Linked DNA regions of Oryzias latipes. The protein of the gene in region 1 interacts with the protein of each later gene in a pairwise test. Links are inferred from orthologs where the notes say so. Each region holds a gene or a part of one and is shown in the gene's direction. Other genes may lie near its edges.

Region 1 (2,590 bases):
TAAGTCAAGGCCTTCTGCTTATTATTGTTTATGCTAAATAAAAGAACTAAAGCACCCATTTATTTTACAAACTGTTTTGATTGTGAAAAGGATAGGAGTCTCATTGGATAACGTAGACGAGGAAGAACATTTATTTTTAGAACTGAAATTTTACCCAGCCAGGATACAGGAAGACTGCTCCGGGTTCAAGATCGAAGTTGATTTGATTAAAAAGTGGATTGAAGTTAGCTGTGAACATGGGATGGAAGTCAGGCGTGATGAATATTCCTAAACATACAAATCCTGTAGAAGCCCACTTCAAAGGGAAAGGGCAAAGAAACTTAGACATTTCAAACTTTATATCATAGTTTCTAATTTTGAAAAATTGATCTTGTATCCAGAGAAATAATGTTTTCTATTATTTTTTTGTTGATTTTGCCAGGTTTGTCAAAAATGATGAAATATCATCAGCATATGCAGTGAGGTCAATAAGTATTTGATCACCCTGTGATTTTCTCCCACTTAGAAAACATGGAGGGGTCTAAAATTTTCATCATAGGTGCATTTCCACAGTGAGAGACAGAAACTGAAGAAACATTCAGAAATCACGTAGTACGATTTTTATATATATATATATATATATATATATATATATATATATATATATATATATATATATATATATATATATATATATATATATATATATATTTGAAATCTTTCCACCTTTTTCATGGTATGGTGAACACGTCAATGTAAGGGTGGGATCATCTACTATAGCACAAGGGATATATATATATATATATATATATATATATATATATATATATATATATATATATATATATATATATATATATATATATATATATATATATATATATATATATAAAAAACACATATATATATATATATAAAAAACACATATGGATGGATAGATAGATTTTTTTAAAGGGCATGTATGGTTTGAGTCCTGATTGACCATAGACCTGGTCCGTCTCCTCTGTGCCATGTCTCCAGCTTTCCAAATCTACATAAATCTTAAATCGCGATCAGATCTTCGTTTTTACTCTATATTAGACTTATTTTTCAATGACAGTTGAGAGTTTAAACAAGAAACAAAACTGTAAACATATTCATGTCTGTTGAAGTGCATAAGGTGTGTAGTAGTGAGGGCTATTACTGCCTTAAAACATCCGTAATACTACTTCTCACCCATTTCAGGTTATCCATAGAAAGTAACACTAATTGAATGCTTTGCTGTGTTTAGCTAGAGGACTTAGATCCGAATCTTTTTGAAAAGTCCCTTATGCAGTCAGGTCGAATCCTGAGCCGTCTTTTCCTGCAGCACCTTTCAGCCTTTTTTTTTTTTTTTTGCACTTGTTGGTTTGTTGTGGGTTTGTGGCTTGATGCATGACTCCATTTCAGGAGGGCTTTAGTTCAGCTATTGGAGACAGCTCCACATTTACCTTTAGTACAGTTAGACTGAGGATGAACCCAATTTAGAACCCCTTTACCGTGTGTCATGTAGATGTTTGGTCTTTCTGAACATCTGCCTTCCCTTTGTTTTAGTTGTCCTCAAACTATCCACATGAGCTTGTGTTTAGATTATTTGCATGACCCTTGAAATTGTCCGATCATTTGCTGGAGCTTTCAGCAGAGTTTGCAGGATCTCCTTTTCTTCTTGGCAGACTCCCTTCTGCAGCAGGTTTTCGCTGTTCGTTTTCTGGGTTCCATGGCCGTTCGCTGTGGCAACAACCGGGAGGTGATCTACGAGGCCATGAGGCAGGTGCTGGCTGCCCGAGCCATCCACAACATCTTCAGGACCACAGAGTCCCATCTCATGATCACGAGCAGCAGCCTGAGGTAGAAATTCCTCATTTTTTTGTGCATGTATGTTACTTTATTATTATAGGAATAATTCACATGTGTTTTCTTATGTACTATGCATGTGAACTATAGGCTTACCTACTTTACCTACTGTGATTTACCAAAACAATCAAATAATAGTTCTTTATTTATGAATCTAATCACAAAATAACATTTTTGTGTTTTTTTTTTGGTTGTTTTTTGCTTTTTTTCCAGTTTCTTAATCATGTAGTTAGTTTTTTCATTGCATTTAAAAAGCTGTATATTAATTTTTTATTTAGCTCTCTTTTAAAATGGGTTTATAACTTAAATAATTAGACTTTTTTTTATTCTTTACAGACTGATTGACCCACAGACTCAGGTCACAAGAATAAGTGTAAGTAGAAAAAGATGAAGTTGCTAAGCATATTTCATGGATTTATAATAATAATCCTGCATTTATAATACAAATAACATCTGGATGTTTTGTTTTTTCCACCAACAGTTTCAACTAGAGGAAGTGTGTCAGTTTGCAGCTCACCAAGAAAATGGGAGGCTGATGGGATTTGTGGTTGAAGGAATAGACTGGAGTGATGGGAACGGCGAAGGAGAGCCGTCGTTTAGTGCTTTCGTCTTTGAGAGCAACACAGAAGGGGAAAAGGTGAGTCCACCCATCAGACGGGCTCGTGGTTTGAAGGAGACTGGAAAGGTTGGTTGCTGCTGAAAGCACAGAGTCAGTTAGGTGTTTCTGTTGTTGTTCACA
Region 2 (2,521 bases), on another chromosome or scaffold:
TAATGAAGGGCAACGCCCAATAGGAGGGGCTTATCATTCAAAAGGGAGCATCACAGGAAGTGAAAAGGGAGAGTTGGAGGGTGTCATGTGCTGATGTGGCCCCGCGTGGAGCGGTTTAGTGATGGCTTCTTGTAATAAAGAACACATAAAATAACTAACAGGGTGGAAAGCACCGCCAGCTGACGCTGCCACACCGTCACACCATAGAAGAAGAAATCCAGCGGTCCGTTGTAAACAAGCGGAGCGCCGACACAGAGCGAGATTATCTTCTAAACTTTTATTATTGTTAGGATTGTTATTAAGTGCATTTGCAGATGAACAGACTGCAGTCAGAACCCTCTGGACCGCACACTGTACCAAAGCACCGTCCCCGCCTGCAAACACGAAGCTACGAGACTCCAGCTGGGTCACATGATCCGAGCCCGGGAACCTCCTGAGGCGGGCTGAGACGTGGTTCTTCATCAGAGAACGGACTGGACTTTGAATCAGTCCTGAATCGGGTCAGGACAGTCACTTCACCATGAGCCCACAGGCTGCTGATTGTAGTGGGCGGAGCCTACACAACTCTCACTTTGACCCGCCCAATCAGCGTGTTTGGAACATTAGGTGGGCGGGGTTAATTCCCATCAGTGTCAGAACCAACCTGGTTTTAGACACATCTGTGTAGAGGAAATGTAAAGCATTGAGCAAATGTTCTGCTGAGTTCTGACTGGAAGGTTCTGTTTGCAGACGCCTGTGGCCTCTCGGACTCGGTTCTGGAGAGGGTTCTGTCGGATCAGGAGCTGTGCCGGCTGTCATTCCGCCTCGGAGCCGAGTGGGAGGCGATGCTGATGGATCTGGGTCTGCCAGCAGAGGCCGTGTTCCGGTGCCGCTCCGATCACAGTCTGAGCACCCAGGCGGCGGCGCTGTCCGGACTGGTTCTGTGGAGACGGTCCGGAGGGAGGAGCGCCACGGCGAGGAGGCTGCTGCAGAGCCTGCAGGCCGCCGGCGTGCACGAGTCGGTGCTGGGGGAGGTTCTGACGCCACCCAGCAGCTGACCTCGGAAACTGCTCCAGAACCGGCCAAAGCCCAAAGAACCTCACCGGGAAGCGGGCCAGGTCACATGACCAAACGGATCGGGATCAGCCCAAGTTCTGACTCTCTAGAGAACCGACTAAAGGTCCAGATCCGGGTTCTGATTCTGGTCCTGACCCACTATGGTGTGAGGAGGAACCAAAGCTCTGCTTTGAATAAAACTTTATTAGTTTGACTTCAGCTGACACCCCCCCCCCCCCACCGCGGATGGTTTGATCATCAGCTGAAACTGAAGGGTTCGTTAGACTGCGATGCCCCGCCCACTAGCCCAGGTTGCGTTTTTAAGGTGGACTGAAGCGATCCTCCGCAGGGAGGGGGTCTGGTTCTTAGGTTTAAATTCAGGAAAACATCCGGATCCTTTGGGAGATTCTAAATGTATGACTGTCAGCAAAACGACTGAAATCTGAGCTGAACTTTGGTTTCTAGTGAAACATTTTTGGTTTCATATTCCTAAAAGAGTCAGCAGATCGACGTCAGAACCGGGTCTGAAGCTCTCTGCTGCCCCCTACCGGGCATCTGTAATCCCGGTTCTAAACGAAACCGGGACTTTGACTCAGAAGGAGACCGAAAAGATCTGATGGAAGAATTCTAATGAGAAACGGACCAAGAAAAAATAAATATTCATTCAAAAGTGAAGGAATAAAAGTTTAAAAACGGAAATCTCTTCATTTACTAAACATCTGAGCTTTCTACTGCCTTAAAGCCCCCTGCCTGGGGGCAGCACGGCTCCGGCGTGTTCTGCAGCACCGGAACCGGTGAAAACAACAAATAGAACAAACATGTATGACAGGAACAACAGTCATAACGAGAACCTCGGGGAGGGTTCATGTTTTACAAAAGAAAGATTACAGAAACAGATTACTATGCATTGAAAATATTCAAAGACAGTTTTCATAAATATGTTTGGCCTTTTTGTTAAAGCTACTGGAAATAGTATGTAAATAAGATCCTAATTCTTTAATTATTACAGGGAAAAACCTCCGTGACGTCATGCGCGTCGCCATAACGCTCTGGGCTTCGGTCCGGACTTTGACAGACCTGCGCGCATCCGACGGGTCAACCTTGTGGCGCTTTGCGCGCGCAGGTGTCGTCCGGGTATTTTAATTCAGGGGGCGGAGTTTTCCTGACGTGGAAACATCCGGATTCCTCGAAGTTGTGCGCGCGCACTGAGTTGTGTTGGAGCTCGTTCGGGTCGGCGCGCTTCGTGGTACACCGCGAGTGATCGACCGCTCCTCCCCCCTGTCCGGAAGTGTGACGCTGCTCCGGTATTCACCTGTAAGTCGGGTAATGACGTCATAAACCAGGAAAGAGTGTCCGTCCGCGAGCTGTTGGTAGCGTCGCGAGCCGGTGGTGGGCATGGCCGCGTGCGCGGAGCAGCTGGCAGACATAGGTGAGTTTACCTGGGGGTCACGTGACGCGCTCTCCGCAGGACTTCTGGATTGTGTCG
Region 3 (3,500 bases), on another chromosome or scaffold:
CACCAGTTCTGGGCCGGTTCTGGGCCTTATGGAAGGATATCCAAGACGTTTGACCCAAGTACTGCAGTTTAAAGGCAATAGTACCAAATACTAATGAAAAGTAATGTCATGATAAAAGTCATAAAAATCGTCTTTAAAAAAAGCTAGTCTCATTATTCTGACATGTGTCATATAGAAATAATTTTGATTGACCTAAAACAGGAAAGTTTTACTTTTATTTCATGTCTATGAGGGAAAAAAAGGACGTGTATAGTTTCAATTGTAGCTTCTGGCGTCTCCTTAATCAAAGTTAAAATCTGGTGAAGAATGAATACAGAACTATTATTGTTCTTTTAGTGTTTATCTAATAACATCTCATCTTCATCTTCCAAAAGTTTCGTGCTCTGGCGCCGATGTACTACAGAGGATCAGCAGCGGCCGTCATTGTATATGACATCACTAAAGAGGTTATTTGCTAATGTACTTTTACAAAAAATATGTACTCAGAAGATGCTGTTGATACTTCTGCTCATTGTTTACCCGCTGTACCAGGACTCCTTCCAAACACTGAAGAACTGGGTCAAAGAGCTTCGCCAGCACGGACCTCCCAATATAGTGGTCGCCATTGCTGGCAACAAATGTGACCTGTCAGATGCCAGGTAAGCCTCAGATGAGGTTATAGCATGTGATGATAAGCTATGCTAACATGCAGCGTAGCAATAACTCCTTGAGAAATATGTGTTTATGGAAACATGTTGTGAAGATAAACATTTTGTAAGGTTATGCTGTGGATTCCTGTTTTTTGTTGCTATATCACTATCTCACACATCAATTACCCGTCTCCCAGGTTTATATTCCACACCGACGTAAAATCCCCCACTTCACACCGGCAGGGAAACCTTTGTACATTTTTCAAAATATTGCCCTCGATGTGTGTTTTACAGGGAAGTGTCAGAAAAGGATGCCAAGGACTATGCTGAGTCCATCCATGCCATCTTTGTGGAAACCAGTGCCAAGAATGCCATAAACATCAACGAGGTCTTTACAGAGATAAGTGAGTGTGTTTTTGAATACTCTAAGCAGCTGGAATCAGCAGATTTACCTTACCGTCAAGGTAATGGTAGGAAGAAAACGTTTTAGTAGTGCATTTTTAAAGCACCTAAATAATAGATCATAATGAAATTGATTTGTTCTTGCTATTTATTCTCATGGCTGTTTGACAGTTAAATAGCCTGCATGTTAAGGCAAATGAGTTTAGTCATGTTAGTCGCAGGTTGATGCTTTTTGGAGCAAAAAGCTAATGGCGTTGTACACTGGAGCATTTAATCTGGTTTTATTAGTGTCAAATAGTTCTGTTTTTGCTTGAAATATTCACATAATTTGGTTTAAAACTGCATTCCGGCTTCTTTATCTGTCTGAATTGAAAATAAATAAAAGGAGATAGGAAGGACTTTGAAATGAAGAAAACCCAGAAACAGCACAGAGAGGTCACCTTTTTATGTCAAGTCACAGATGTTACTCCTAGATTGAAAGAATTTACTCAGATTCCTTTTTTAAAACTTTGATGCAAAGTATTGCTTCTTATAAAATAACATTTGTATTACCTAAATATGATTCAGTGGATACACTTTTTTTTTATTCTAAAGGCTTAAATGGAGGTTTGGGGGTGTTTTGTTCTGCATGTATAGACATTTCTTGCACCTCTCTGCACATAATTGATATAAAGAACAGAGAAAATAAATACAAAGTTTTATTTTAACTATTGAACAAAACTTAAAAGCCAGAGTTTAAATTTGAAAAAAAAAAGAAAAATCTAGTTGAAACCCTGAAAGTGCATGTTTGTCCCTGCAGGCAAGCGCATTCCCGTTGTTGATGCAGCAGGGGGAAGCTCGGCGAAAAGTATCAAACTAGGACGGCAGGTTTCAGAGTCTCGCAAGACGTGCTGCTGATGATGGGAACTGTCCTAAGAAGACCCGAGATGTGACCTTTGCTTCCCCGCAGTGCTTCGGACCTCCACTCACTCTCAAACCTCCCATAATAACCAGCAGCTGGGTGCAGTGCGACTGACTGACAGCTGCAGAAAACACGTTTTTATGACGTTGAGTGGAGATAGGTCATCATCCATCACCTCGAACATGATGACAGGAGAAACATTTTTGTGCAACAATGAGTGCATGCATTTCTAAAGAAGCCTTGTGCAATTGTATCATAGCCAAAGTATGATTAGAATTTTTAAGTTTGTAATACATGGATTGAGAGGTCATTTGTACTTGTACAGTTGTACAAATCTGCTATTTTTGAGCAGAAAAGAGCAAATCAGTTATTTTGATAGCCCTTAAGTTATTGTATTTTACTTTGATGGGTAAGTATCACTTAAAGAATTATCGACTTCAAGAGCAAACTGTCCTTAGTATCAATGCATGAACTCTTTTCTTTTGTTTTGTATTATTATTATTTTTTACAAGAAACTAAAAAAAGCATGTTATCAGCTACACTCGTGACTGATTGTCCTGAGCGCCTTGTTTAAATCGGTTGGTGTGAGTTCTGATCAGCTTAGGGTTTCTGTGCTGTGGGAAACAATTGCCCAGTAAAAGATGAAGAAATGAAAGGTATGTGGGACATTACTTCCTCTGTATGCTGGGAACAGCTCAGCATTTAGTAGTATTGGTGCCTCTGCCATGTTTGCTCAGTAAAGATGTAGCTGAAGCAGAGAGATAAATACAACTTTGGAAGAAGAAAAAAAAAGGGCTGTCTAGTTTATCTTTGGTGTTTAATGTGCTGTCTTTCATCATCATGTTGCACTAAAAAAGGGATGTCTCTAAAGTTCCCTTTATTTTTGAGCTTTTTGTTGCTTTGACTTTTGGCTTTTGAATATCAAACAATAACTTAAAATTGTAAACTTAAATCTCAGAATTAGCCTTTTGAAACAACCAGTCTGCTGTTCAGTAAACGGCCCCTAGAGGCATTACAACGACTCCTATGTTCCATGCTGTACACGGTTTACAGAGAATCGTGTCAGTGCTTAATGGTCACTGGTGAGCTGCCCACTTTTTAGTCTTTCTCTGCTTCTTGGAATGCTAAACAGCAAGTTAAATGATAATTTTTGTTTTTTATTGTCCCATCTTCTCTTCACCACCACTTCACCTAATCAGTACCAGCTTTCATACCTAGTGATGAGATGAAAACTGTCAGATCATACATTTCTATTTTTTTTTCTCATGTATATCAGGTTAGCAGAAGTTTTATAGCAGCCATGGGGCTGTTGACCCCCTGCTGAACTTTGGTCACTATTCTGCTCTGAATTAATTTGATTCTCTGTTCCAGAGTCGCCCTATTAATCCCCCCCCCCCCCCCCCCCCCCCCCCGCTTTTATGTTTTATGCGTCAACAATCGGACCTTGAGCTTGGTTCTAATTGTGGCGTAATGCATAAGAGTTTTTCCACTTTTCCAGAGTATTTAAATTCCTGGACATGGTTTTCATGAAGCTGTTCAGAGTTGGCCCAATTGGGGACAGGCAGCAC

The links. The genes of interacting proteins can lie anywhere in the genome.
Region 2: the proteins of appl2 (region 1) and death domain-containing protein CRADD-like interact in binary tests that used the Homo sapiens proteins (3 or more experiments, as listed by UniProt). The two-hybrid records come from large-scale screens. The link is inferred for Oryzias latipes from reciprocal best matches to the Homo sapiens genes APPL2 and CRADD.
Region 3: the proteins of appl2 (region 1) and rab22a interact in binary tests that used the Homo sapiens proteins (3 or more experiments, as listed by UniProt). The two-hybrid records come from large-scale screens. The link is inferred for Oryzias latipes from reciprocal best matches to the Homo sapiens genes APPL2 and RAB22A.

The regions. Positions count from the first base shown.
Region 1 is NC_019864.2:12,221,596-12,224,185, reverse strand, and holds part of appl2 (DCC-interacting protein 13-beta), read left to right. Parts: intron 1-1,670; coding exon 1,671-1,845; intron 1,846-2,187; coding exon 2,188-2,224; intron 2,225-2,332; coding exon 2,333-2,488; intron 2,489-2,590. UniProt on the Homo sapiens protein: Multifunctional adapter protein that binds to various membrane receptors, nuclear factors and signaling proteins to regulate many processes, such as cell proliferation, immune response, endosomal trafficking and cell metabolism.
Region 2 is NC_019881.2:23,806,697-23,809,217, reverse strand, and holds the end of death domain-containing protein CRADD-like, read left to right. Parts: intron 1-729; coding exon 730-1,037; 3' UTR 1,038-2,021; downstream 2,022-2,521. Other genes in the region: arhgap8 (rho GTPase-activating protein 8), read left to right, coding at 2,431-2,464. UniProt on the Homo sapiens protein: Adapter protein that associates with PIDD1 and the caspase CASP2 to form the PIDDosome, a complex that activates CASP2 and triggers apoptosis.
Region 3 is NC_019863.2:13,832,768-13,836,267, reverse strand, and holds part of rab22a (ras-related protein Rab-22A), read left to right. Parts: intron 1-374; coding exon 375-446; intron 447-531; coding exon 532-638; intron 639-923; coding exon 924-1,033; intron 1,034-1,830; coding exon 1,831-1,928; 3' UTR 1,929-3,500. UniProt on the Homo sapiens protein: Plays a role in endocytosis and intracellular protein transport. Mediates trafficking of TF from early endosomes to recycling endosomes. Required for NGF-mediated endocytosis of NTRK1, and subsequent neurite outgrowth.